2 linked regions of the Sus scrofa genome follow. The protein of the gene in region 2 interacts with the protein of the main gene of each other region in a pairwise test. Links are inferred from orthologs where the notes say so. Each region holds a gene or a part of one and is shown on either strand. Other genes may lie near its edges.

What was found.
Region 1: the proteins of CLK4 (region 2) and UBL5 interact in a two-hybrid assay, tested with the Homo sapiens proteins (2 studies listed by BioGRID and IntAct). The link is inferred for Sus scrofa from reciprocal best matches to the Homo sapiens genes CLK4 and UBL5.

Annotation. Positions count from the first base shown.
Region 1 is NC_010444.4:68,698,271-68,712,897, forward strand, and holds UBL5 (ubiquitin-like protein 5), read left to right. Parts: upstream 1-8,312; 5' UTR 8,313-8,316; coding exon 8,317-8,372; intron 8,373-8,576; coding exon 8,577-8,660; intron 8,661-8,820; coding exon 8,821-8,858; intron 8,859-9,585; coding exon 9,586-9,629; 3' UTR 9,630-9,679; downstream 9,680-14,627. Other genes in the region: FBXL12 (F-box/LRR-repeat protein 12), read right to left, coding at 3,118-3,190, 3,301-3,404. UniProt on the Homo sapiens protein: Ubiquitin-like protein that plays a role in cell proliferation and sister chromatid cohesion by associating with spliceosomal proteins. Participates thereby in pre-mRNA splicing by maintaining spliceosome integrity.
Region 2 is NC_010444.4:79,722,642-79,737,981, reverse strand, and holds the start of CLK4 (dual specificity protein kinase CLK4), read right to left. Parts: upstream 8,523-15,340; 5' UTR 8,365-8,522; exon of another isoform or gene 8,202-8,364; coding exon of another isoform or gene 8,199-8,201; intron 5,323-8,198; coding exon of another isoform or gene 5,265-5,322; coding exon 5,162-5,264; intron 4,365-5,161; coding exon 4,298-4,364; intron 1,772-4,297; exon of another isoform or gene 1,766-1,771; coding exon of another isoform or gene 1,713-1,765; intron 609-1,712; coding exon 386-608; exon of another isoform or gene 1-385. UniProt on the Homo sapiens protein: Dual specificity kinase acting on both serine/threonine and tyrosine-containing substrates.

The sequences.
Region 1 (14,627 bases), about 11 Mb from region 2:
AACTTCCACCTGCCATGTGTGCAACCAAAAATAAACAAATAAAATTAAAAATAAAAGTAAAATGGATTGATGGATGGAAAGAGGGATGGATGGATCAACAGATGATAAAAACAAATGAAGGTGAATATTAATGGTGGGCAACTCCGTGATCTTTGTACTATTCTTTTTTTTTTTTTTTTTGGTCTTTTAAAGGCTACACCCTACCCTCAGCCTATGGAAGTTCCCAGGCTAGGGGTCTAACTGGAACTGCAGCTTCCAGCCTATGCCACAGCCACAGCCACAGCAATTCAGGATCCAAGCCTCATCTGTGACCTACACCGAAGCTCAAGGCACTAGATCATTAACCTGAGCAGGGCCAGGCATCGAATCCACATCCTCATGGATACTAGTTAGGTTCGTTACCACTGAGCCATGACAGGAACTATTCTTTCAACTTTTATATATGTTTGAAATTTTTCATAATAAAATAGTAAAAAAAAAATTATCATTTTTTAAAAGGTGATTTCAATAAAAATAATTTCTCTACAAGGCCACGATACCTTATCCAAAACTCCTGGAGACAGTTAGATTTCAGAATTCAGAATTAACATGGTACAAATGTCAAGGGCAGCACTTTATTATCAGATTAATATTTTTCAGTATAACACGATCTTTTTTAAATGCTGCGCCTGTGAAATACGGAAGTTCCCAGGCCAGGAAGTGAATCCGAGCCATAGCTTTGGCAATGCCAGATCCTTTAACCCACTGTGCCTGGAACAAAACCCGCACCTCCATAGCAACCTGATCCTTTAATATGTCTTTTTATTCTATGTAGGTTAAGAGAAAAGACAAGGAGTTCCCGTCGTGGCGCAGTGGTTAACGAATCTGACTAGGAACCATGAGGTTGCGGGTTCGGTCCCTGCCCTTGCTCAGTGGGTTAAGGATCCGGAATTGCCGCGAGCTGTGGTGTAGGTTGCAGACGCGGCTCGGATCTCGCGTTGCTGTGGCTCTGGCGTAGGCCGGCAGCTACAGCTCCGATTGGACCCCTAGCCTGGGAACCTCCATATGCCGCGGGAGCGGCCCAAGAAATAGAAAAAAAAAAAAAAAAAAGAAAAGACAAGAATAGCCTTACACTAATTCACATAAGGTTTTGCCATCAAATGAATTTGTGCCAAGCTTACAGAAAACTTTTCACTTTGCTGGCTTTTTGATTTTGGAATTGCAGATGAAAAACTGAAAACAAAAAAATATAAAGGACCCTACATCTTAGAAACTGCTCTTCCAGGTTTAAGAGTAAATAGTACCTGGACACAAGAAGATAGACAAAAGGACATTCTTGTGCAACAAGAACCAGCAGCATTAGTAACACCTGGGGAGCTGTGAGAAATTCAGAACCTAAGGCCCTACTCCAGGCCACTGAATCAGAATCTGCATTTTAACAAGATCCCCATAGGTGATTCATATACATAGTAAAGAGACAATTTGTGAACTTATAAAGCTGTTTGTGGAGTTCCCCTTGTGGTGCAGCAAAATGAATCTAACTAGTGTCCATGAGGATGCAGGTTTAATCCCTGGCCTCATTCAGTGGTTTGGGTATCCGGCATTGCTGTGAGTTGCGGTGTAGGTCACAGACTCAGCTCGGATCACATGTTGCTGTTGCTGTGGGGTAGGGTGGCAGCTGCAGCTCTGATTCGACCCCTAACCTGGGAATTTCCATATGCCACCAGTGGGGCCCTAAAAAGCAAAAAAAAAAAAAAAAAAGCTGTTTGTAATAGGAAATAATCTAACCATCTGTCAACAGCAAAGTCGATAAACAAATTGTGGTATATTCATTTAAGCGTGGTTAAAAGGAATGAATTAGATTTACAAGTCCCAGTTATCTCAAAAGCAATGTGTGAATAAAGCTGGTTGGGGGTAGTTCCCATTGTGGCTCAGCAGAAACAAACCCAACTGGTATCTATGAGGATGAGAGTAGGATCCCTGGCCTCACTCAGTGGGTTAAAGATCCATCTGTTGCCATGAGCTAAATGCATCTCAGATCCCAAGTTGCAGTGGCTGTGGCTTAGGCCGGCAACTGCAGCTCTGACTGGATTTTCCATATGCTGCAGGTGCAGCCATAAAAAAAACAAAAGAAAAGCTGGTTAGGGGTAAAATAGCATTTCATTATCTAAATAGAATAGGGTTATCTAAACTCTAGAAATGGAATTCCCTTGTGACTCAGCAGTTAAGGATCCAACATTGTCACTGTAGTTGTTTGTGTGGCTCCTGTGGGGTACAGGTTCCATCCACGGTCCGGGAACTTCCGCACACCACCAATAAAGAAAAAAAATAGTGGAGGGTTTCAAAAAGTGCAACAAATAACCTGTAAATGTTGTATGTATATATGTATACATAAACATTTATGTTTCTCAAGATCTGCAGCAAATAAAGCAAAGGTTAATAAAGGTTAAATCTAGATGGTGAGTACATGGTTTCAGATATTATCCCCTATGCATTTCCATTTGTATTTAAAATAGTTCATAATAAAAAGAAAAATAAAATGCAGGAGTTCCCGTCGTGGCTCAGTGGTTGACAATCCGACTAGGAACCATGAGGTTGCAGGTTCAATCCCTGGTCTTGCTCAGTGGGTTGGGGATCCAGCATTGCCCTGAGCCGTGGTGTAGGTCGCAGATGCGGCTCGGATCCGGCGTTGCTGTGGCTCTGGAGTGGGCGGGAGGCTACGGCTCCGGTTGGACCCCTAGCCTGAGAACCTCCATGTGCCGCAGGAGCGGCTCTAGAAAAGGCAAAACGACAAAAAGGCAAAAAAAAACAAACAAACAAACAAACAAAAAAAAACAACGGAAGAAAGTGGAAATGGTGTGATTGCACTCTTCAGGAGATTACTTCTGGAAATAAGTTGACTACAAAAAATTACTTTTCCGTGAAAACTCATCAATAAGCCCTTTCCCCAAACGATCTTGGTTATACCCATTATTTTGGAGATGGAGAAATTGAGGCCCAGAGGTCACAGCTGAGCAAGCAGGCGGCGCAGCCGGGAGCACCTGGGAGAGCCTCGCTCGAAACAAGGGTTGGAGGCGTGGTCCTTGAGGTCAGGCTAAACCTACCGAGGCCCAGGCCTTCCCGGCCAGCCCCGCATACCGTGTAGAGCGTCAGGTCGACATGTCGCCACAGCCACCGGTCGTCCACCAGCCTCTTCCAGCGGTGACAGACCCTGGGGGAGGGGACCCGCCGTTAGAACGACCACGGCCCCGCGGGGTCCAGGTCTGCACCTCCTAGCATGCCCCCCGCCCGGCCCCTCCCTCCCGCGGGGCGGGGCCGCACCTGGAGATGCGGATCCGGTCCCGGACCGGGAGGTAAGAGAAGATCTCCAACAGGACAGAGTCCGGCAAGTCGGCAAAAGTCGCCATCATCCCGCCGACACGCATTTCCGTTTCCGTCCAGAGGGACTCGGGGACTCGTTCTGAGGGCGACCAAGGAGGTGGGGGAAGTGAGGGTGCTGGCACGGAGGTGGTCGCGGCTTCAGGTAGCCAGCAGAGATTCAGCTTTCCTCTTGCGGGGACGTGGCTGGGCACTGGAGCCAGAGCAGCACAGGATCTGAACGCCGAACCAAAAATGCAGCTGAGAACTGGGACTAAGCCGGGAAGGCGGGGCTGAGGCGGTGACGCAAACCAAGGGCGGGGTTAAGGGGGGGGAAACCTTACTCTGGGGGCGAGGCCGGGACGAGGGCCGAACCCAGAAGGCGGGGCTGGGGCGGTGACAAGCCCTGAAGGCGGGATTGAGGGCAGAGCCGAGAGCAGAGGACTCCGCAGAGAGAGGTCTCAGCTTTAGAGCTTTGTGATGCATGTACATGAGGGTAAATTTGCAAGAGTGAAATAGCTTTTGTTTTGTTTATAAATAGCTTGTTAAAAGGAGTGTTGAATTTTTCGTTTTTATTGATGGTGTCAAATGATTCTCCTCAGAACCTGAACTGACTTCCTTCTCGTAAACAGCACTCATTTTTATAAGTTGCAATTCATAAAGGCAGTGAAATTTACTCAAGCATTCCCGTATTGATGAGTATTCCGGTTGCTTCCAGACCTATTACCATAAACAATATTGGAGCTAAGCATTCTGTTACATATGTATGTATGTATATACGTATGCAGGTTTATGTACACACATATATATAATATACTTCCTATGTTTTTATTTCTATAGGATAAATAAACAGGAGCTGTGCTTATGGGTCAAAGGACATGAGGAGTTTAATTCTGAGTAGCTTTTGCCAAATCACACTCAACAAATGGCAATAAATGTTTTTAATACACACAAGAAATTGGAGATGCTGAAAACTGTTTCAAAAAGAAATGCAAACTCATTAAGATGTACATGCTAAATGTGTGCAATTTGGTATACCAACTGTACCTGAATAAAACTTAAATAATCTGTATGCTTACACTTATCCATAAATAAATTCAAAGTAAAACACTATGGAATTCACTTATCAGATTAAGAAAGATGAGGAAGCCAAAAAATACCCACACTGGCTCTGATATGAGGAAACAGACTTTCTCAACCACAGCAGTTGGGGCAGAATTGATGCAAAATCTTTGAAGACAGTTTGGCAACATAAGATTGTAGCCCCTGTCAGACCAAGCATCCCACTTCTAGGATCTCAAATTGTCAGAAAGAACGAGGTAAAAAAAAAAAAAAAAAAAAAAAAAAAAAAAAAAAAAAACAAAGGAGTTCCCGTCGTGGCGCAGTGGTTAACAAATCCGACTAGGAACCATGAGGTTGCGGGTTCGGTCCCTGCCCTTGCTCATTGGTTTAAGGATCCGGCATTGCATGAGCTGTGGTGTAGGTTGCAGACGAGGCTTGGATCCCGCGTTGCTGTGGCTCTGGCGTAGGCCGGTGGCTACAGCTCCGATTCGACCCCTAGCCTGGGAAACTCCATATGCCTCGGGAGCAGCCCAAGAGATAGCTAAAAAGACACACACACACACACACACAAAAAAAAAACCAGAGGATAAAACTGCAGCCTACCAGATCCTCAGGGCAGAGCCCCCTTCCCTGCCTGCTTACATCTCTCACAAGCATCCTATCCTAATAAATCTATTACTTGCCTATCAAAAGAAAGAAAGAAAAAAAAAAAAGTCAGTGGAGGGAGTTCCCATCATGGCTCAGCAGTAACGAACCTGGCTAGTATCCACAAGGACTCAAGTTCAATCCCTGGCTTTGATCAGTGGGTTAAGGATCCAGTGTACGTGAGCTGTGGTTTAGGCCAGCAGCTGTAGCTCCAATTCAAGCCCTAGCCTGGGAACTTCCATATGCCTCAGGTGCAGCCCCAAAAAGCAAAAAAGAAAGAAAAGAAAAGAAGAATCATCTCCTGCCCCATCAAGCATACAGGAGTGGAGGGATAGGAACTGTCACATCTAAGCTCCTTCCTCTGGCTCAGAAATTTAGGCAACAAGAGACAGAGAGGCCCTGCCCAGTTTGCTCCCTGAGTCATGACCCAGAACTCTCCCTCCTGGGAAGCATTTATCTCCAGCCAGGAGCAGCTCTGTCAGCAGATCCTTCAGTTTCCCAGACAGGAGGATGGAGCTGACCTGGCCCCTCCGTGACCACTGAGTCCCCTCATGGGAAGTTCCAAATGATAATTACCAGGATGTGGAAAGAGGTCTCTTACATAAGGTGTCCTGTCTCCTGAGGCACCTCCCTCTCCCATCTGGCTCCCAGTGGCAGCCTAGTCCTGGGACTTCCCATTGTCCTCCCCCTCTACTTCCTCAGGATGCCTTAGTCCAGCTGGGGTTGGCAGCCCCCCAGTAGATCCCCATTCCTCCCTCCAGAGGGGCCCAAACCCCCAACAATCCCAGACTTTATTTTCCTCCCCTTTCAGCAGTGATCCTCACTACTTTTCAGCCTCCCCCAGCCCATAACTTAGTATCATGATCCTGTGCTTGAGCCAACTTTGAATCAAACACTGAGAAATCAGTGTTTGTTAAAAATGCATTTACTTTTTTCTCCTCATTACAAAGTAACATATGTTCATTGTAGATAATCTGGGAAAACACCAAAAGTGCCCAAAAGAGGAATATGAGACCCAGCAATTCCACCATCTAGCTGTAACCACCATCAACAGCTGGTGTGACCTAGTTTTTTTGTTTTGTTGGTTTTGTTTTTGTTTTCTCTTTTTTGGCTTCCCCTCAGAATATGCAGTTCCTGCGCCAGGGATCAGATCCCAGCTACAGTTGCGACCTACAGCCACACCTGCCAAAATGCCAGATCCTTTAACCCACTGTGCCAGGCCCGGGATCAAACCTGAGTCCTGGCGTGGCAGAGACACCGTGGATCCCGTTGCACCAGAGTGGGAACTCCGTGACCTAGTATTCCTATGTGAATCCAAAGATGTGCTCCTTCCAAATTTCCCTCAGGCTCATCCTTGACCTTCCCATCTCTCCTCTTGTTCCATCTGTTCTTCTGCAAGAGGACGTCAGGGGCTGGGCCAAGACCAATCCTTCCTGCAATCCTAGGGTGGGAATTGCTATCCCCTTTCATAGATGAGGAAAATGAGAATCAGAGAAGGAAAGTGCTGAGATGACACAGCTTAATAATAACGCGTAAGTTGGGGTTTTCAGAGGGATTCTGCAGGGAGTAGAGGAATAACACGTCAAAGTTCTGAGGCAGGAAGGGCCTGGGACTCTAGCGTTTGAGGTGCGACTTATGGAAGTTCCTAAGCTAAGGGTCAAATTGGAGCTACAGCGCCGGCCACAGTCTCAACAACACCATTCCCTAGCCATGCCTGAGACCTACACTACCGTTCATGGCAACACCTGTATCTTTAACCCACTGATCAGGGCCAGGGATCAAACCCGCGTCCGCATGGATACTAACTAGTCGGTTAATATCGTTACCGCTGAACCACAACGGGAACACCAAGGTGGAATTTCTTAGACTTATTCTTTAAGGCAGCGCAGCACAGACAAGGTTACCAAGCATCTGCCCTTTCCCCAGGATGGAATCTCATGTCTTTCACCTAAACTCATCCCAATTTGAGAAAGTGTACCGGTTGAATCAGAAGTGGAGGCCCCTTTTCAGAGTGAATCCTTTTATGCTTTCCAAACTAGGAGAATACTGTCAGCTGAGAAAGTACAGTTCAACGGTTAGGTCTGTCTACTGGCAGGCTGGATCTAGGGAGGGGTGTTCCGTGTCACACCAGCCCTGGATCCGAAAGGCAAGGTTAGGATCTGGTACAAGGTGCCCCCTGCAGGGCGTGAGAAACAGCCCTGGGAGATTTTGCGCTTGTGCAGCTTCCAGCTTCCTTGTCAGTGTTGCAGGTTGGCGTGCAATGGGAACTTCATTCTGGTAAATACTAGTATTCAGGCCAGGATCAGGAGGCTCCTTCGCTTGCTGGCTTTAGTTTGCACCCCAGATGTCCCTGGCGAGATAGCCAGAGGGGAGGGCTGAGCAAAACGTTTCCAAACCCTGAATGAAGGCAGGAGGGCGGACCGGATGCCTCAGAACTCGACCTAAGCTCCCCGTAGCCCTGAAGCTGCAGTTAGAGGCTTCATCGGGTTCAAGAACAGGAGGTCATCCCCCCTTCCCAGGACGTCCCTCAGGAGCCCCTGGCCTCCCCAGCAGATGCCACACCTGACGGCGTTTCGGCACAGTGAAGGGCTTTCAACCAACGGCATCCAATCGGCTGGGCGCCAGTCCATGACCTCTGACTCTCCATGTTCCTTCTCCGCACGGGCTGCGACCTTCACTTGGCCCCGTGCACCGTCTGCAGGTGTCCTCCTGCCCAGGCTTGGGACCACAAATCCGCTCCTGGGAACCGACTTCCCGCCCAGGAGGCGGCGAACTCTGCGGAGTGTTGACAGGCACTGGGAGGAGCCAGGGCCAGGGCTTCCGGCCGAGCACTTCCGCTTCCGGTTCTTAGCGTCGACTCTGTCCCAGGCTCTACCTTCCAGCGAAGAGGTTGTGGCGTCTGCTGGTTCCAGGCGTTTCTTGGTGAGAGGGCCGGGTGGAGAGGGCTGGAGTCGGGGAAAGCTGATGGAACTTGACCATAGTGGATCAGCGGGACTGCGAGAGGCAAGGCGGGGCCTTCAGGCTACCTGAAGCGGGAAGGGGCCAGGGCGGGGGGGCAAGTGGGGGGTGGAGGTTTGGCTGCCTGGGTTCCACGGTCGCCTGGAGTCTGAAGTCCTTGGACACAGGATTCGGGGCCCAGGAGGACCTCAGTGTCGGGGATTGCGCGGGGCGTGAATGTAAGACTCAACAATTGGGGGTCTTGGGACCCTGGAAGACCCCTGAAGTCCAAATTCTCTTGCCTCCTCATCCCCACCCTGTGTAGCTCCAGACAGGATGATCGAGGTTGTTTGCAACGACCGTCTGGGGAAGAAGGTCCGCGTTAAATGCAAGTATCCTTTGGCGGCCAAGAGACAGTGGTTTCCTGGGGGTGCTTGGCTTGAGGCGGGCTGCTCAGTCTGTGCCGTAGGGTGATTCTAGTTAAACCTGGGAGGCGGGGACGGGAGTGGGATCCTGGCAGAGTGCATTCGGTCCTGGAATGCCCTCTTCCTCGTTCTATCTCCCCCTTCCATTTTCCTTAACTCCTTCGTGCCCAGTACGGATGACACCATCGGGGACCTTAAGAAGCTGATCGCAGCCCAAACTGGCACCCGTTGGAACAAGATCGTATTGAAGAAGTGGTGAGTACAGTGGTGGAGATGGGAGCTGGAAAGGAGCTGGCCAGAGACTTTGGGTGGGTGAGTGCTGCAGCCAGCCCTTTGCTCAGGCAGAACTCCTCAGCATGCCTCCAGAATGAAGAGCCTTTTTAAAGTTTTTTTCTGAAAACTTTTTATCCCTTAGGTACACGATTTTTAAGGACCACGTGTCTCTGGGGGACTGTATCCTTTGTGATTTCTTGAGGAAGGGTTTTCATACCCAGACTTGGTTCTCCTTGTTCTATATATAGACTGGAGTCTATATGAGATTATGCACATAATGTATTTAACTTAGTATGTGGTACATGGTGTTTAGAAAATGGGAGCCATGTGATTATTTTGTTGGGGCAGGAGGGTGGTTGGTGAAGTATTTTGACATGGCTTCTAAGACTTTGACACTTTGGAGTTCCCATCATGGCTCAGCAGTAACGAACCTGACTGGTATCCATGAAGACACGGGTTTGATCCCTGGCCTCGCTGAGTGGGTTAAGGATCCAGTATTTTGCCCTGAGTTGTGGTGTAGGTCACAGACGAGGTCAGATTCTGAGTTGCTATTGCTGTGGCTATGGCATAAGCCAGCAGTTGCAGCTCTGATTCGACCCCTAGCCTGGGAACTTCCATATGCTGCAAGTATGGCCCTAAAAGGCAAAAAAAAAAAAAAAAAAAAAAAGAGGGTTTGCAGTCAAAATATTTATTACTGAGTTCCACCTTAGTTGGGCAGGAAGTCACGGTGGAGTAAGACTCAGGCTTATGTGTTGTACAAGAGGATCATGTACTTTTTATTTAAAAGTTTGGATTCTTTTCAAATCAAAATGACCTAGTCCAAAAATGTGGCTACCAGCTGTGAGAGATGGGAGGGGTGGGGGGGGTTCAACCCCACCCTGATGATTCCTTGACTCATTTACTTCAGATGAAATCCATGATGGGATGAACCTGGAGCTTTATTACCAATAAAGCAGAATTCCTTCCCCCCCTACCTTGCCCTTCTCTCTTCTCCTACCCTCACCCCCCACAATAGTGTGGCTGCTTGTTTTTGAAAACTCATGTTAATAAAAACTTAGAGGCTACTTCATTGTTGTCATCTTTGAGTGAGGGCTGTCTCTTGAGGGGAGGGTTGGTATGTGGTTGTCACTATCTTCACAGTAACTAGCTGCTCAGTAAGAGTTCAGGATTGACTGGATCAGTGAAGAGTCAGCCAGTGGGCTGGGAGCCTGAGTTGGAAAACCAGAGCTTTGGGGCTTGCCGTATGTTTCTGAAGGTCAAGAAATCCTGGGATCACTGGCATCCTAATAGATAGAGGAACCTCTGAGTAAGAACAGTAGGTGCAGTAGTTAGGAATACTGGTTTGAATTCAGACAGACTATAGGTGGAATCCCACCTCTGCCACCAGCTGTGACTCTGCACCATGTTACTTAATCTCCCTTAAACTTCATTGCCTTATCCAAATTGGAAATGATGGTATTTACTTCTTTGGTGTGTTATGGAGATGAGATAAAGCATAGTTAAGCAGCCACATCTCCTGGTACTTATGAAATCCTAGTGGACAGAGTGAAACAGCGTGGCATATATTCTAAGAACCTAGCCTCAAGAGTCAGACCAACTGAGTCTGAATTTTCATCATTAGTAGTGGGATTTGGGGAATCAGCCTCTCTGGTGGTCGGTTTCTTACTCTAAAACCAGGCATCCCATCTCGAGATAATGAGGTAATGCAGTTAAAACAGCAGGATTCCTGGTGGTATTAGCCATCTCCATCCTTCTTCCTCTGGAGCGAGTAGGCAGGACATCTAACACTCCATTTCTATTACCCTGGCCACAGATCCTGGGGTCAAGCTTGGCCCTGTCTTTTCCCAAAGCCATATTCTGGAGCTCCCTTGAAAATTTCACCTAGGGAGTTCCTATTGCGGCTCAGTGGTTTTTTTGCCTCTTTTTTTTTTTTTAAGGGCCGCTCCCGTGGCATACCGAAGTTCCCAGGCTAGGGGTCTAATCCGAGCTGTTGCTGCCGCCAGCCTACGCCAGAGCCACAGCAACGCGGGATCAGAGCCGTGTCTGCGACCTACACCAAGCAGAAAGCAGGGATTGTACCTGCAACCTCATGGTTCCTAGTCAGATTCATTAACCACTGAGCCACTCCGACTAGGAACCATGAGGTTGTGGGTTCGATCCCTGGCCTTGCTCAGTGGGTTAACGATCCAGCGTTGCTGTGAGCTGTGGTATAGATCACAGACGCGGCTCGGATTTCGTGTTGTTGTGGCTCCGGCGTAGGCCGGCGGCAGCAACAGCTCTGATTAGACCCCCTAGCCTGGGAACCTCCATATGCCATGGGAGCGGCCCTAGAAAACACAGAAAGACCACACACAAAAAAAGAAAGAAAGAAAAAATTTCACCCAGAACTTTGCTCCATCCTTTTTCCCCTCTCTTCTGTTGATGTGGCTGATCAGTTCATAACCATAATAAGTCTGGCCCACTGCTCCTCCCTTCTCCAGGCTCCACCCAGCCTTCTGCCTGCCTTTCACCACCAATCTTCTTGGGACGCAGACCTGCCGGCTACCTGGGGTGCTGGCCACTGGTTATGGTCTCTCCTTGGTCTCCTTCAGCCACCTCCCTACCTTTGCCCTTGGCTTACCCCCCTGTCCCCAGGACTCTGCTTTCTCCTGACATGTCACAGATGTCTGTTTCCTGGTATCCCTGCTCTTCTTGCTCTTATATCTCAGTCTCCTCACCTGTCTTCCTAAAAAACAAACCCAACACATTTTTTTTAAAGTACACAGCAACTTTGACAAGGTGAGTCTTTGTGTTCAAATCAGCATAAAAAAGTACTGGTTAACAAGTAAAACCCACTCCTGACCTTGTTCCCTCTCCTGAGGTCAGGCCTTTTTCAATGCATTTAAATAAACACTATTTTTTTTTATTTTAAAGTTTTATTGATGAATAGGTAATTTATAACTTATTTATTTATTTTGCCATCTTAGGACCGCACTCAGACATATGGAAGTTCCCAGGCTAGGGGTCAAATTGTGGAGTTGCAGCTGCTGGCTTACACCACAGGCACAGCAATGCCAGATCCAAGCCACATCTTCGACCTATGCCGCAGCTCACAGCAGTGCTGGATCCTCAACCCACAGAATGAGGCCAGGGATTGAACTGGCATCCCCGTGGATACTAGTTGGGTTCGTTTCCACTAGGCCACAATGGGAACTCCTAAAACTTATTTTTAAAAGTTGACTATGCTAATACCTCTTATAAGGAAATCCAAGTGTGTTAAAAAAAATTAAGTTTCGTATTTATACACCATTCTGTCTAACAATGGCAGTCATTAACATAGCTGAGTGAGGAGTTTCCATCGTGGCTCAGTGGTTAATGAATCCAACTCAGAACCATGAGGTTGCGGGTTTGATCCCTGGCCTTGCTAAGTGGGTTAAGGATCCGGCGTTGCCCTGAGCTGTGGTGTAGGTTGCAGACGCGGCTCGGATCCGGCGTTGCTATGGCTCTGGCATAGGCTAGCGGCTACAGCTCTGATTAGACCCCTAGCCTGGGAACCTCCATATGCCGCAGGAGCAGCCCAAGAAAAGGCAAAAAGAAAAAAAAAAAAAAAATAGCTGAGTGAATCCAGAAATTTTCTGAAATACAACCTATAGCTTTTATACAAATGGAGTAATTTATACATTCGCTAATATTCATATACCATTCAGCAGTTTGCTTTTTTATGCTTTACCTTTGATTTTTCTATATAAATTACCTGTCTCGTTCTTTTTAATTAGTGTTTTTGTTGATTTTTGTTTTGCTTTTTTATTTATTTATTTTTTATTTTTTTAGGGCTGTATGTGTAGCATATAGAAGTTCCCAGGCTAGGGGTCGAATCAGAGCTGCAGTTGCTGGCCTACGCCACAGGCACAGCAACACCATATCCAAGCCGCGTCTGCACCCTATGCCCTAGCTAACCTATGCCCTAACACCAGATCTTCAAGCCACAGAGTGAGGCCAGGGCTTGAACTGGCATCCTCATGGATACTAGTTGGGTTCTTAACTGGCTAAGCTGCAACGGGAATTCCTTGCTCTTTTGTATCAAAAGGCAGTATGGAAGGATTTTTCTGATGATGGGACTGTTGGGTCTGGAACTATGGAGGTGGATGCAGGACTCAGCATTTGTCGATTGGGATATAGGCAGATAGATGGAATGCAGGCTGTCAGGTGAATCTGCCTGTATTACAAGTGAATCACATGACCCCACTGAATCCAGTGTGGAAGAAAGGAGCTGACCTAAATAACTGGAAAAGTATTTTACCTTGATACTATAAGGCTAGAGACAAAGAGAATTACAATCAAACACTGTACTGTAGTTGGTAAATGTATTCCTCAGAGCAGTATGATTTAGCCATCCTAAAACTAGTTTTATACATATATACACACACAGGGTTGGATAAATACATTGTACATAATTGGAGCCAACTGTCTTGCTGCTGGAGAAAGAAGTTACAAATAAAACTAGGAGGAGGTGCAGTGGAAGGGGCTGGGTAGAATGAATCCTGTGGGGCTGGAGGCATCAGGAATTCCCATGTGGCTCAGCCGGCTAAGGATCTGGGATTGTCACTGCAGTGGTGAGGGTCACTGCTATGGTAGGGCTCAGTTCATGGCCCTGGAACTTTGCATGCTGGGGGTGTGGCCAAAAACAACAACAAAAAACAGAGTTGGGAGGGATCAGTATGGGTTTTTTGTTGTTTAATATGTTTACTGTCACATGTAGAAATATAGGTGTGTGCGTATATGTATATATATATACATCTATGTCCTTGTTTTATCCACTTGGACCAGAAGTAGTGACACCCTAGTATCAATGAGCACACCTAGCACCCAGATCTTGGTTTCTTTTTGTTTTGTTTTGTTTTTGTTTTTGTCTTTTTAGGGCCGCACTCAAGGCATATGGAGTTTTCCCAGGCTAGGGGTTGAACTGGAGCTACACCTGCTGGCCTATGTCACAGCCACAGCCACACAGGATCCGAGCCCCCTCTGCAACTTACACCACAGATCACAGCAACATCAGATCCTTAATCTACTGATCAGGGCCAGGGCTCAAACCTGCATCCTCATGGATGCCAGTCAGATTGGTTTCCCCTGAGCCACGATGGGAACTCCCAGATCTTGGTTTCTAAATAATATTCTCCAATAAAAGGAACCAGGGCTCCTGGGAGAAGTAATTGGTTCCAGAGCTAGGGTAGGGAAAATACAAGCTGAGTGGAGCATCTTGTGTACCAGGAAGTAGTGCTCAGATAAAAAGAACAACTCGAACAACAAAATAATAATAATTTGGACTACAATCCAAAGAATAAAATAAATAGCCTCGAGCCTGTGCTTATATAAATAAATAACCATATGTACATGAATAGGAGAGAAGGGACACCTCATTATAAAAGGATTTCAGTTAATTGTAGAAGGAAAGAGGGAAATAGGAAATTACCCACCCTTGAGTCACCATAGTAATAATTGCTGTAGGCAAGATGCACTAATAGATGCTAAAATTAGTTTGCAAAAGTTAAGCAGAAATAGGATATTTGCCAGGTTACTGCTGTGGCACAGTGAATTAAAGGATCTGGCATTGCTGCAACTACAGCATAGGTTGCAGCTGTGGTTGGTATTCATCCCCTGGCCCAGGAATTTCCACATGCCAAAAATAAAAATAAAAAGTTTATTAGTAGGGAGTTCCTGCTGTGGTACAACAGGATCAGTAGTGTCTTGGGAGCCCTAGGATTCAGGTTCAATCCCTGCCCTGGTACAGTGAGTTAAGGATCAGGTGATGTAGTTGCAACTACAGCTCAGGTCAGTTCCCTGGCCCAGGAACTCCATATGCTGTGAGGCAGCCAAAAAAGAAAAAAAGGGGAAAAAGGTATTAATGGGGAAATTCTTTTATTTTTATTTTTATTTTTTTGTCTTTTCTAGGGTCGCACCCACGGCATAAGG
Region 2 (15,340 bases):
TTCCATATTTGTTTACAAGTATTGGGAAAGGGGTTTCTTTTAAGGTTAAAAAAGTTTCAGATGAAAGAAAAGATGGGTGCTTCATCTTTTCATAAAATTGTATTATAAAAAACACAAAAATATTTTTAATATTAAAATCAAGAAACTCATGATCTGGTCTACAGAAAATGAGTAATGTGGGCAAATTAGGGTTAGCTAATAAATACAAATTAGTTTTAAGAATTTGGAAGTTTCCTTTAAGGATTCAAGTAATATAAACACAATTACAGTCACAGTATTTTTAATATATATAGATATATATATACTTTTCCAAACTTATTGGCTTAATAAGAGCTTTTATACACAAATAAGTATTCACCCAAAATAAAAACAAAATCAATCATACCGAACGTGACTGATGACTTGAACAGTGTCTATTACGTTTCCTTTTAAGACTGCTTCTCCTGCTTCGGACTGAAGATTTACTGCAATGGATTCGATAACTGCTTTCAATGTCTCTGTGATAATGTCTAGGAACATATCTTTCGCAGTAGTCATTTCTGTATTCATCAATGTATCTCCGGTCCCGATAATCTCTCTCATTCAAGGACCTTGCTTCTAAATAATGACTGCAAACACATTAAAGGATTTAAAATTACTCTCTTCATTCCAGAATAATGTGGTTAAAACAAAACATTCTCTCAAGAATTCCTGGTATAAACAGCTAACTCATAAGAGAAAAAAAAATACAAATTGACGAATCAGAATTTATATTTAACTCATAAAAGTTAGTAATTTTACTTTAACCAACCAACAAATTCGTCATACATCTCTATCAAGAAACGATACTTGAGTCAAATCATTCAATTATATTCAGTATTGGCTTGATTTAGTGTCCCTTTACCTTCTGGAGAAAGTTAAGACCAAAAATTCACAAAACCGCTGTTCTGAAATTCATCAGTCTCATGCATGATATATGTGTCTGTAACTGAGCTTTTTTCCTTTTCCCAGAGCCACATACAACATGAGGCAGACAAAGATTTCTTTTTCAATATAAGTGAATTTTAGATATCCCTGGCACACAGAGAATTCTCTCATGAAAGGTTTATTAGAGCTAAAAGGAATCTTAAATATATTTTATTTCAGCACTTTCGCTTTAAAGGTGACTAAATTGAGCTCCCTAGAAGGAAAATTATAGGCCATGGTTGCACATCACGTTCTAAGTCCTATTATATGTGCCAATCGTATCACACACACCACTTATCCCATATCTCCTCTCCTTTTTGTATTTCTAGCTTCATGTATTAATCTTTGAGAAACAGACAACACAGCTTTTGAAGGTTGTATCATGTGCCAAAGACATCTAAAACATATTCCCCTCAAATGAGAAAACAATCTTGTAATTGCTTGCCTAGGGCTACCCAACTCCCTACTTCCCTTTGCATTTGGAATTTTCTGTCATTCCTGCTTGCAAAGTAAACAAGAATTAATGAAAAACAGCATCATCTGGTGCCATGGTGCATAACTTCTAAATCTACAGATCCCTTTGAAAATCTGATGAAAGATTTGGACCCTCTTCTCTAAGAAGCACAAAAATGCATAAACAAAACTTAGTAAGGAATTTCAGAGGTCATGGACCTCAGGAAGTCAATGGATCCCAGTTAAGTAGCCTTGGTCTGATGGAAAGAAAAAACATAGATTCAATTGGCCCAGTTTCCCATCCCCCTCTCTACCTGGGATGAGTGTCCTCTTCAACAGAGTGCGAAGCTTCAAGAGGGATGCACATGGAGCACTGAGGGAGAGAGGGGACACCTGCCCAGTCAGACACATCAGCTAAAATAATCCTGACAAGCAATGGAGTGACAGATGTTGACTAGATTGCCCTCACCAACCTCATTTTTTTCCCCAGAATACGCAGTCATTCTTTTTCCCAGGGGGCTGGTTTAGGCAGAAATAAAGGAGAAGCATCTGTAAAACTGCTACTCAACAGGGTTGGCATCAAATCCAGGCTGGGGAGATGCAGAAACCCTCTTTCCTTTTCTCCAGTGTCAGCCCTGAGTTCTAGTCATTGGAGAAACAACTTACAATATTAGGGTAAGACTTTTGAGTCTAGGTCAAGGATCTATCAGCTGCTTGGAACTATAAGGGAAAAAACTGCAATACATCAAGCTAGAAATTACCATATTCTTAAGGACATCCTGTTTAATTCTGTAAGGCATCCTCCCTATTAAAGCCCGAAATCTATCAGAAAAAAAACACTAATAATCTCTAGCTGGAATGGTGCATGAAATTAGAGCTGCTGATCCATAAACAATCTACGGAATAACAAACATGGGGTGAATATCACAAGGATAAACTAAAAAGATGAAGACCTCCTCAATCTACAAAAACCAAGGCTTAGAGATTACATAAACAAAGTCTACAGAATTATAAAGGCTATATGGACAGAATGAACAGAATGAACACTTGGGATATTTCTAAAAATATTCACTGAATGGCCAGTGAATATTTCACTGCAGTTCTTCAAAATAGCCAGGACAAATGAGGCTAGAGGGCATTTGATTTTATTTCCACACAGGTCCGGTGGAAGATAAAAAATATATATATACATACATATATATATACATGGCAAAAGCCCTGCCAACAAATAATGAACGATTTGAGATTACTAACACACACAAAAAAACCCCAAAACTCAAGAATGCAGTAAATGCCAAAAGGCTGTATATGAGTGCTTAGGGACAGAAGGGAAAAAACTCAAAATGCTTAAAATGGTCAGGGAAGATTTCATGAAAAAGAAGGAAAGAGTTGCATCTTAGAGGGAAGTTAGGATTTAGACAAGGTGGATATGCAAGGGGAGAAAAATGGCCTATTACCATCTCACATTTATAGATCCTTTTAGCCACAATGACTTAGAGATGAATTTGTCTACATGTTACTTAAAAAACAGTAAATAGACAATTTTAGCAGAAGCAATTTTCACACAGGCAAAATAAGCTGGGAACAGTCACCCAAAATCTTGAATGTCAAGCTAAAGAGCTCAAAACAGTGTTTCTCAAAGAGTGGTAAGTTTAACAATATCAAAATGTTAAATTATTAAAAATGAAGATTGCCGGGCTCCAGGTCAGGCTCACTGAATAGCCTGGTAATATGCATTTTAAACAAGCTCTAAGGTGATTCTATTCACACTGAAGTTTGAGACTCACTGATTTAAGGCTTGATATTCTGTGTTACAGGAAAACATTTTTAAGGCTATTCACAGTATTCACAGCCACATCAGTCTTCCTAAAAATTAATTAACCCTGTAGGAAGGGAGTAATTCACTGGCTACTTACTACCAAAAAACAAATCAGAAAGAAAAGATACTGCAATATACGTTGGAAAAAGGTAAGATATTTGGCAGAATAATAAAAGTACTTATAAATCAGTAAGAAAAATACTTTCATAGAGAAAAATAGGCTAAGAATACAAAAATAACATTCAAGTGGTCAATAAACGTGACAATAAATTAAGGAGAAATTTCAAAACTCAAATAGCATTTCAGAATAGCTAAGAATGGTGAAAGTATGAAGGAACAAGTTGTAGGAGTATAACTTGGTACAAACTTTCTAGAAAAATATGTTGAATATGCAACAAGAGCCTTATGAGAATTCACATCCTTTAACCTGAAACTGTCCCTTCTTAAGAATCATTCTTAGAATTATTTTCAGGAAATAATCAGAGGCAAAGATTTGTATACAAAGATATTTTTCAAAAGAAATAGTTAAAAGTAATTTTACATCCAAGTAATAGGGGACTATCATCTTATCAAGATTACCTTTATGTATTTCTACATTTTTCTCTTTTTTCAATAATTTCATAAAACACGCTTATTTAGTTTTGAATCTTGAAGAAGACTATTAGACTACTCCAGATTATGGAGAGCAATTGCTACCAGACATCTCTGGTGCCAATGTCAAAGAAGAAACTATTGGCCCAGTGGTTACTAGATCAGTATCATGTTTATGTAGTTAATAACAAACATGAATGAAATGTATATTACATCACTTCCTTTCTACACATATAATGCACAGTAAACGAATGATTATACTATGATGTTAATAAGCCTTATAGACTATTTTATATTTATTTTAATATAGGGTACAGATATTTTTCTGTAGAAATTAATTAGCTCATCGAAATCCTGGCATAGATTCTCCCTCTTTCTTCCAAATGATAACGTGTGATGAAGAATGACTAGTCTGCACTGACAATGAACAAGCTCACTGTTCTGCAGAACAAATCTGTTTTAGCATGGAGAAGGAAAAAAATTACATACTGTTTTTTAAAGTAACCCCAGCTGGCTAATTTAGAAAGCAATCTGGCAAACAGTCCCAATGGAACATCTGCACAAAACAAGGAGAAAACATAGAACCAACAAAAACAAATGAGAAAGGGATATTAATGGAGGACAGAATGAAAGACACTCTACTCACCTAACCTTTGTTTAATTATTTAGGAACTTTAAAACTCCTTCAATTCTATATAAATGTACTACCTCCAAATTTTACACTGGTTAGAATACAGTAAAACAGGACACATGCTATCAGAAATTTTTATTGAGGCCTTTCCCTAAAAATTACTGGCTACTGCCTAAGCAAAAGAATGGTTCTTAAAATAGTCAAGCTTCTAAAAAATCCAACCATCCACTGGTCTTATCTACAAATAAAACCTGCAGGATACAGTCTAAGTGACTAATCCCCAAGGCACTCAAATGGCACAAGATATTTTTCTCACCTGGATAACTCTTCCTTGCCCCTGAACTCTCATTCGTGGAACCCTAAACAAGTGCTCTCCTACAAACAAGATAAAGGCGCTAACCAGTCCTTTAATCATTTACTTTTGTGTGAGCAATCATAACTTACTTTCAAGTCTCAATGCCCCCAACTACATTTCTGGCAGCTGGGACTCAATTAGCTGTCTCCTACAGCTCCCTGACAAAGATATGAGGATAAGAACTCTTGTTTTACTCACAACTCAGCATCTACAGTGTCTAGCATGTAACTAATAGGCACTCAGTAAATATTTTCTGAATTTTTTAAACTAATTTAGAAAACAATTTGACAGATGAAAGCTACATAAGCTAATGACAAAGCATTAAAACTATTAGTGTTAAAATGCTACTAGTTAAAAAGCAATTTACCAATCAGATTCTTTAAACTGGTGATGTGGTTTACAATGTCTGTTCTCTTGTGTACTACTGTGGGATCTCCTCTTCCGTTTGTGACTTCCACTGTAGCTTTCATGTCCCCAGCTTTCTCTGCTATCCCAATCAGGGCAGTGAGTTCTTTTGGAATGCCGCATCTATGAATGGAAATGAAAAGTGAGTTGTGGAAGTTACAGACGGTTATGTTTAGTCAGTAAAATATTTTATATTAATATAAAAACACTCAGCATATGGGGGGGTCACAGAGGTTCTAAAATATTTGCAGGTAGCATTTCCAAGACATGGGGGCACTATTCCACGGTATGTCAGATGATTCTAAGTGGCATGCAGATCTAGTACTAAATGATTGGTAACACTGTGAGACCTTAATATATTTTCTTCCAATTCTTCTGCATAAATTCTCAGCTTGATGCTTGTGTTCAACTAACATTTGCTAACTGCCATCGTTCAGTAAACAACAATACCTTGCTAGAAATAATAACTTTTTTGGTTTTATTTTTATCATTACCTTTCTTTCTACCATCGTTGTTCTATGTTAAATTATTACTGATCTGCCAATTAAGTTGTTGATGTTATCAAATTATTAAGTTACTGACGTTAACTTTAAATCTGAGCTAATTTAAAACGAACATCACAAGTGTCATGCATCTTTGGCAAAATACTGTATTACAAATAACTGGAGTCAGAGAAGCACTTGGGGATACTAAATATAGGAGACAACTTAGTTTTAAAGGTAAAAAGCCATTAATAAAGCTTATTTTTCTCACTCAAAAAAAGGTCCTTTTTCTTAATCTCAGAATGACTCCAAACTTTGAAAACAAAAATAAACAGGGCATAAATGCAACACAATATTCCACAGAAAGAGCAATAAAAGAGTATTTTCTGAACTCATTTTCTCTATCCAACATATTTATTTTCAGATCATCCTGCAGCCATTCTTAAAATTAAACATATTTGTTGTAGATCTGGGAATGAACTTATAAGGATGAACATGTTCACACTAAAATCAGATGGTAACTGCAAAAATTTCCTGACTCCATCTACAACCTTATAGGTTCTTTCAGGATCAGGATCTCCCTCTTCCCTACTTAATTCTTTCACAAAACAGTTAAGTTTGAAACAATGATACCCAAACTGCTGAACAGGGGGAGTTTCACAATTCAGCAAGGAGCTGAAAAAAGGTAAATAAGAGCAAACCAGCTTAGTTCATTTACCTCCTTTAGTTTGCCCAAATGACTCAGTAACAAGCAAACAAATCCAGGTAAACATTTAAATGATTTCAAACGGATTAAAAAAGACTTTGAAATAAGAAATCTCCTGTGAGGTATTCCCTAAGAAAATCTAGCCACCAAATATGCAGATTTTTTTCAGTGACTTCTCTCGCTAATGCTATTTCTATGCCCATCAAGTATACTTCTAATAATGTAGCTTCTCTTTCAGCTTGCTTTTAAAAAGGAAGAGAAGGCACTGGTTAGGTAAAACAAAATTCTTAAAACTCTACTCAGGGTTTTTACTGGAAATTGATTTAAGTGAGCATTCTGATTTGACACAGAGTTACCTGAATATGGGAAACTGAAATAAATGACACACAAATTAACTTGAGTCAAAAGGTCATCAGAAATGCCATCAAAAAAAATTCTTCTTTCTAGAGGAATTCTCCTGACACTTCAATTACCCAAACTGTATTTTAACCACATAGAACTCTTTAAAATTGCTTAGTTAAGCATTCTTAAATTATAGTAAGCAAAATTACAACATCTGATGACTAAAGGTATTATTATGACTACTACAATGCAGTTTTTGCAAAATATATGTGCCTACTTCGGTTTTGCTTTTTCCTTCTACTGTCAGCCATAACTGGCTCATCTGTAACAAGGCAGAATTCTTAACTAGAATTATCAATATGCAAATAATAAACTAAGAATAAGCATCTTGGGAGAGCCAAAGGTTTTTATTTCTCTAGCTAAGTTCACTACTTTTAATTCAACTGTTAGGAAGTCCCCTGTGCGTCCTCTGCCCCCCTCCCCCAACTAATAATGCTCAGAAATATTACCTCAGGAGACCAAGAGAAAAATCCCAAACCCTGGTTACACAGACAAGGTTCTTTCGCATACACAAAAAAGAAAATCTAGAATTGTTACACCATCTCTAATTAATAAAGAATCCTACATGTTATAATCACCAGACATACTTCAATAAAAACAGCAGATAGAATAAATCTACGGGTTTATATCCATCTTAGGAATCTGATTCTCTACTGCCCTTTAACACTCTATATTATTGATTTAAGTGAGCATTCTGATTGACATATCTTATGCGGACAATTTTATGCACTCTCTCTATATTTAATGTGGCTAGAAATATCACAATTAGATGGATCCAAGAGGACTGCATTTAATAAATAACAAGAAGCCGAAGCCTGTGGCTGTATGTATGGAACACAATCACACAAACATAGCTATAAAATAGGACCAGGTGGTTGACCCAGGCAGTTTTGAATGCTGTTTCTTAAGGCTCAGACAAGCATATAGCGGTTGCTTAAGGATCAAGGACAGCAAGCTATACAAGTATCAGAAATACAGATCTGCCGCACAAGGGTAAGCTCCACCTTAGGAAAAATACAGTTCCGCACAAAGGATGAGCCTCTCAGTATTTCTGCCTCTCCCGTGCTCATTTCCACCATCCTGGACTTGCAGACTTGCAGTTCCTCGGACGCCCGGTCGCCGACCCCCGCCTACCCGCCCAGGGCCTTTGGCTCACTCACAGACAGGGACAGATATGCGACTCCGGAAAACACCCAAATGCTACCGGCGACCGAGACCAGGCACAGAGGGGAGCGCTGGGTCTACCACAACACAACCCCCCGCGGCTCTCGAAGGGCCTCCCGACAGGTCCTCGCTGTGGCCGACGGGAGGAGCAAAGGCCTCCGCAGCCTTGATGCGAGCAGCCTGAGCTCCCAGTGAAGAATAAGCAGCAGAGCCGAGGTCTTTCCGCCCTAGGACTTTAAATTTACCATGACATCTGGGCAACTTCAGGTTTTAAAAGCCACGAGCAGAGTTGTGCCGCGAAAGAACTCCGGTCGCCGAGGCCTTGAACCCGGTCGTTTTTCCGACACCTGGCTTTGACTCCTATAAGACTGGGAGGCCGCCCATCCCAGTACACCCCACCTGAAACGTTACCTCCGCAAAAGCAAAAGGCCTTTTGGCCGCGAAAGGCCGCCAAACCGCCGTCTTCTCTCTACAGGCGCTGCGACAAACACCCCACAAAATGGCGGCAGCGCCGTCTCCCTACAACCCCCCGGCAGCCTCTAGCACCACCTACAACCCGCGAACGCGCCTGCGTGACAGAGCTCGCGCGCTCCCGCCGCTCCCCCTAAAGGGCGGGGCTCCTGTGACGTCAGTGGCGGGCCCGGTCCGCCGCAACGCGTCTGCGCGGGGCAGGAGGTCCCCGCCCCGAAACCCGCCGGAGCTCAGGCGACGCCCTAGGTTGTTTTCGTTTTTGGAGTCTAGGTGAAAATTGGAGCGAGTGCCGGCGCACTGGCCTCAGCTGTGGCGTGTCTGTTCCTTCAGGAGAAGTTTTTGGGGTTTTTTTTTTGTCTTTTTGCCATTTTCTTGGGCCGTTCCCGCGGCATGTGGAGGTTCCCAGGCTAGGGATCTAATCGGAGCTGTGGTCACCAGCCTACGCCAGAGCCACAGCCACGCAGGATCCAAGCCGCGTCTGCAACCTACACCACATCTCAGGGCAACGCCGGATCGTTAACCCATTGAGCAAGGGCAGGGACCGAACCCGCAACCTCATGGTTCCTAGTTGGATTCGTTAACGACTGAGCCACGAGGGGAACTCCAGGACGAGTTATTTTGAAGGCAGCACCTCTAGGCAAAGCCAACAATGGCTCCTTTTTCTGCTCTTCAGCCTTTGGCACTTTGGCTGCCTGCCCTCCGCCTACCCAAGGACCTGAACTCTAGACACAGTCACCACAAGAGAGATAAGCCCCCAGACCCGCTCTGTGCCAGGCCCAGGTTGGCGCTGGGGGCAGTTCAGTGAACGAGATTGTGTAATTCAGTCGCTTGGAACTTCTGTCTAAAAATGGGCTCGAAGAGAATGTCTCGGGAAATAAGCTCAGGGGTGCTTATCTTTTTAAGGCCTGTGCACAACAATATCAAAAGAAATTTAAACTGGGACTCCTTTCAAGGTTTTTCCTGTTGTGCCTGGGCAGGATTTGGTAGCTGGAAGTTTCCCTAACAAAGGTTACCACATTATTTGTCCCTATGGGTCAGTTTTATTTAACCAAGGCAGAATAATGTCTGAGAGCTAGTAAGCCCCATTAAGGAGCTTGCTTACCTCAAGGTGTTTTGCAGTTTCTAAGAATCCCTAGTTTGCCGTTGTGAGCCTGTAGAGAGAGAAGAGAGAAAGCCAAAATCATTTCAAGGGACAGAGAGCCTGAGCAGGAATGACCAGAAGGAGAGGAGAGCCAAGAGTATGGTGTCAGAGCAAGCCTAAAGGAGGGAAAGCTTACAGTGCCAAATGCTAGGAAGGAGTCAGGAACTTTTCTGCTAGTACTGAAAAGTGTCAAGGGGATTTCACGTTCTGAAAAACAGTCAATAAAAAAAATCAGAAATCAAATATAGGAGGGCAGAGTTGAACCTCCCAATTATATGGGTCTGTACCTTGTACTTTTTAACCTTGTTAAGTGAAAGAAGGGCACTGTTATTTCGTGATATGACATCACAGAAACTTGTACAACCTCCTTTGGATAAATTGAATTGTTATGGAGATTGTCCCCGCACTTCAAGAAGTGAAGTTGAAAAGATTACTTGGAAGTGAAAATTCTTTATGCTGTAGAATGAAACAGGCAATGTCATTCTCCTCAGCTGGAACAGTCACCATTTCTGCATCTACAATTTTAAATCTTGCCCATCCTTCGAGGTCCATCCGTTCCTGCCTACATCAGTTCCCATCCTTCTCCCTACTCTTGACTACATGGGTTAGAGATGAAGTCCTCAAACAGTTGGCCAAGGCACACAGGTGTACCTGGAGCTTCCAAAATATGGTGACCAATTCTGCCCATAGAGTGAAATGTATTGGTTCTACAACTAACACATACTATTTCAGGGACATCTAACAGTTAGAATGTTGAGCTGAGTGGACTGAACCATCTTGCAAGGTAAAGTGGGGCTCCACTTGAGGCATACAGAGGCCAAAATTAAACTGGCACCAGAGAAAATCACCCCTTTTTTGCTGGAGCATGAAAGATCTTTGTCTTTTGAGGATATGATATTGTGGTCAGGACAGCACAGTTTTGCTCAAACAGCAATATAAAAGTTAAAAGACAGCCAAGTGGAAAGGCCACCTACAGAGGGATTTACAGACATTGCAAAACAATATCACCCAGTAGGGGAGTCTGCTTCATAGTTACTGCTGTCTTGTTTTAGTGTCATTTTGAGTATTTTAATTAAAGTGTGCCACCAAAGGTCTAATATTTAACTGGTGATCAGAAGGAGATTGAGAATGTCCTATGACTAGCATTTCTCTGTTATACATATGGTGTTCCCAGGTACTCTTGTGGCTTGTGTGCTTTGGAGACAAGGACTTGGTTTGTATTATCATTGGTATCTCTCCACCTACAACTCAGTACATATTTGTAGGTTGTTTACATAAGCTGCTCAGTTGGTTCAAGTTGGATTAAATCAAAGGTAGAAATTTACACCCAGAATCCCTGTGCTAGTTGGCTTAATAATCTTCCATGGCACCTCAACCCGTTCTATTAAATCAGTTACCTGGAAAATGAACACCTTGGGTTGGAGGACTTAAAAAAAAAATCAAAGTTTCTAAGAATCTACTACCAACACCAGAATGACTACCTAATACAGTAGCTTCATCTCAACACAAGAACAAGCATGTCTAAGAAAACTTTAAGTTAAACCAGGTATAAAAAAGCCTTAGCTTTGAAGAGCAACCAGAGGAATATTATTATCATATATTCTAGATCAGAGATTCTACAGGTTTAACTTCAGACAATCATCTCTGAAAGCACAGTTCAAGAGTAAAAGTTTATATTGTGTAAATTAAGTTGAACAAAAGTTTTATCATCTGTATGGAGAAACTCTGACAAAGGTAACAAAGATATAAACCTTTACAAAGGTTATAACTTCTGTTTTAAGTTGCTATTACTGATAATTACCAATTAGATTTGGTATTTAATTAGATTTTTTGGTGTGTTTTTAGGTATTAATTAAATAATTAAATACTCATTATGTGCTAACTGCTGTGTATACATGATCTCATTTAATAGTCTAAACAACCCTGTAAAGTGATGATCATTGGTTTCTTGCTTGAGGTCACAGTGATCAAGTACCAGAACCAAAATTCAACCTCAAGCCTTACTTGCTTCAAAGCTCTTGTGTTTAACCCATTCTATGATTTCCACCCATTCAGCAAAATACATAGAAACTTACTTTACTTAATCATTAGGAAAAACAGGCTGAGTCCATCTTTCAGCAAGACCAAAGTGTTCATCTTAAAAAAAACCCCACTTTTCAAGGTTATATATCATTGAAGGTGCCTCATGATGAAACAATGAGTCAGTTTATCTCTATCACATCAAGATCATCAAAGGTCCCAGGGTGCCTTAGTCACTGTTCAACAGCAAGTCAGAAAGCATCTCCCATGCATCCCATGCTGCCTAAGGTGGATACTAGTTTTCTCCGGTACTTCCTGAGACTGATTGTGAGGAGATTCACACAACACACTATTAAGCAGGATTTATTTCCATCAAACAGTGCCAGGAGCATTCCCTGATATCCAATGTGCCTTGCCATGTGTATATGAGGAAGGAGTATGGAGGGGTACCAGGGGTGATTTAATTCAAATGTTCCACAGGGAATAGGATAGGCTGATCTTTCCAATCTCCTTGTAAGTTTCCATTACCTCTAATGATAGAGCTTCAGAGTCAGGTTAGTAAGTTAGTTTCTCTACATCTGCTACCAATAGTCTCAACTGTCAACCAGCCAATGACACCACTGATGGAAAAATATATTTGCCTAAGTTCTAAATGTCTTATGAATTCTGTAGAACGCTGCATAAGCTCATGAAAATGTGTAATATATGTCTCCAAATCTTCTGGGGTTACCTTTTATTTTAATGTATAAATATAAAGTTCCTATTTCATGTAATTGGTGAAAGTACAGTATCCTTCGGAGTACTCTGATGATTCTGGAGAGGTCAACTTCTCTGGTGGCTTCTTATCACCCCACACTCTAAATACCTATTGCTGCCTCTTTCCCTCATTCTCTTATACTACCTCATCTGCAGTTACTGTCAGTACTTCATAATATTTTGTACCAAGTATTGACACAGACCTCTTCTTTTTGATTCTCCAAAGCCTAACTAGCTTTTATGAGAAATAGGCTTAAAAATTTGAGGATACTGAAAGGGGGGTACAGCACAGAAACAAAAAGAACTTAAATTTTAGTATCAGATTTCACAATTCCTAGGGTCCCAATCATTTCTCATCATAGATCATTTTTTACCGGCTTTTCTCACCTTAGGACTCAACTGGCCAAGTTCCCTGGGATCATCCTCATATTTTCTCTCCAGAGCTTTATCCCTTTTTCTAATCCTTCTTTCTTCCTTCATTCACTCATAAAATATTTATTGGGCACCTACTTATGCCAAACACTGTCTTAGATGCTGAGGATACAAAAGTACATGAGACAAAGTACCTGCCTTCATAGAGCTTATGTTCCAGTGGGGGAGAGAGAAAAAAAAGGAAATAAATACAATATTTCAATGTTTTGTAAATCCTTTGAAAGAAACAAACTAGGGACTGAAAGAATAACTGAGAAAGAATAACCTGCTTTAGATAGGATGGTAAGAGATGTGACATTTTAGTTGAGGGTTAAAGGAAGAGGAGAAGCTGGCCATGTGAGGATGAGACAAAACCCCACTGGAAGTCTCATTTAACCCCATATGGAACTATGTGTGGAGATATTCTTTGACATTTTCTGATAGGAAGGGAAAAAATGGAAACAATATAGATGTCCATCACTAGGGGAATGGATAAGTAAAATGGAAATATACTGCACATTAAAAGCAATGAACTGAATGTACATACAGCAATATAAATAGATCTAAAAACTTAATATTGGGAGTTCCCTTAGAGCTGAGAGCCCACATCAACACATCAAGCCTCAGCACACTGTGGCAAAAAAAAAATAAAAAAAAAAAAAACCAAACCAAGAACCCCAAAACTTACTGTTGAGTGAAGAAAAGTGCTTTATAACACAGTATCATTTAGGCAGATTTTTTTTAAATGGCCACACCTGTGGCATATGGAAATTCCTGGGCCAGGGATCTAATTTAAGCCACAGCTGCAAGCTACACCACAGCTTCGAGCTACACCACAGCTATGGCAATGCTGGGTAAACCACTGTGCTGGGCCAGGGATCGAACTGGTGCCTCAGCAGTGACCCAAGCCACTGCAGAGACAACACTGGGTCTTTTTTTTTTTTTTTTGTCTTTTTTTGCTATTTCTTTGGGCCGCTCCCACGGCATATGGAGGTTCCCAGGCTAGGGGTCTAATCGGAACTGTAGCCGCCGGCCTACGCCAGAGCCACAGCAACGCGGGATCCGAGCCGCGTCTGCAACCTACACCACAGCTCACGGCAACGCCGGATCGTTAACCCATTGAACAAGGGCAGGGACCGAACCCACAACCTCATGGTTCCTAGTCGGATTCGCTAACCACTGCGCCACGATGGGAACTCCCTACACTGGGTCTTTAACCCACTGCGCCATGGCAGGAACTCCGCTTTCTCATAAGTCTCTTTTAAAAATTGCCATGACGCTTAAAGGGATAAACTTTTTGTCAATTCTTAACACATTTGAATTTCTTTACAAAACAGAGTAGTAACATTGTTTGCTCTTCCTTCAATTTGCATAATCCTAGTGAAAAACAGATATTAAAAACTAAATAAGTAAGCTTTACTCAATGGATTGTTTAAAAATTCAACAAACATTCTGAGACTTTTTCTTCAGAATTAAGTAATGATTTCAGTGCTTCAAACAAACTTAGGATTCTCCCAACTGCATTTTGTTAGAGAGAGCCAATGAATTTTGAATTCAAGAGAACTGAATAATACTGAATGTCAAAAAAATCAAAAAATCTTTTAATCACTCAGTTCAAACAGCATAAATGTTGATGTAAGAAAGAGATTTGATGACAATTGCTTTAATGTCAATAGAAAGACATAGATGCTGTTTGGGCAGCATTACGCAGAATATGGACAAAGCGGAACTCCCATCATGGCTCAGGGGTAACAAACATGACGTGTATCCATAAGCATGAGGGTTTGCTCAGTGGGTTGGGGATCTGCCATTGCTGAGAGCTGTGGTGTAGGTTGCAGACTTAGCTCAGATCTGGAGCTGCTGTGGCCGTGTTATAGGCCGGCAGCTGCAGCTCTGATTTGACTCCTAGACTGGAACTTCCATATGCTGCAGGTGCAGCCCTGAGAAACAAAATACATATATATAGAGTTAGAGATGTATAGAGATATAGATATATACATATAGATGGACAAGGCAACCAATACCTTCCAGATAATCATTTATGCCGCTTCACCTTTGGATAAATATTGTTCGCATCTTTATGTAAATATCCACAAAAATTTGATTTGTTTTATCTACAGTATAAGCTTTTTAAATTAATTCCTAACTCAATAAGATAATCTTCGTAACAATTTTTTCATTTCTAAACTCTCACCAGGCATGGATCACTCTCAGCCTTATAAGCAAACTTTTTCATGAGAAAACATTGCACATGTGAAGATGTGCTTGCAATTTTAGAATTAGAAAATACTCTGAAGATAGTTTTTGTTGTTGTTGGTTTTTTGTTTTTTGGGTTTTTTTTGCTTTTTAGGGCTACACCCGCAGCATATGGAGTTTCCAGGGTAGGGGTCCAATTGGAGCTACAGCAGCTGGCCTACTCCACAGCCACAGCAACGCGGGATCCGAACCATGTCTGTGACCTACACCACGGCTCACAGCAACGCTGGATCCTTAACCCACTGAGCGAGGCCAGGGATGGAACCCACAATCTCATGGTTCCTAGTCGGATTCATTTCCACTGCGCCATGACAGGAACTCTGTGAAAATAGT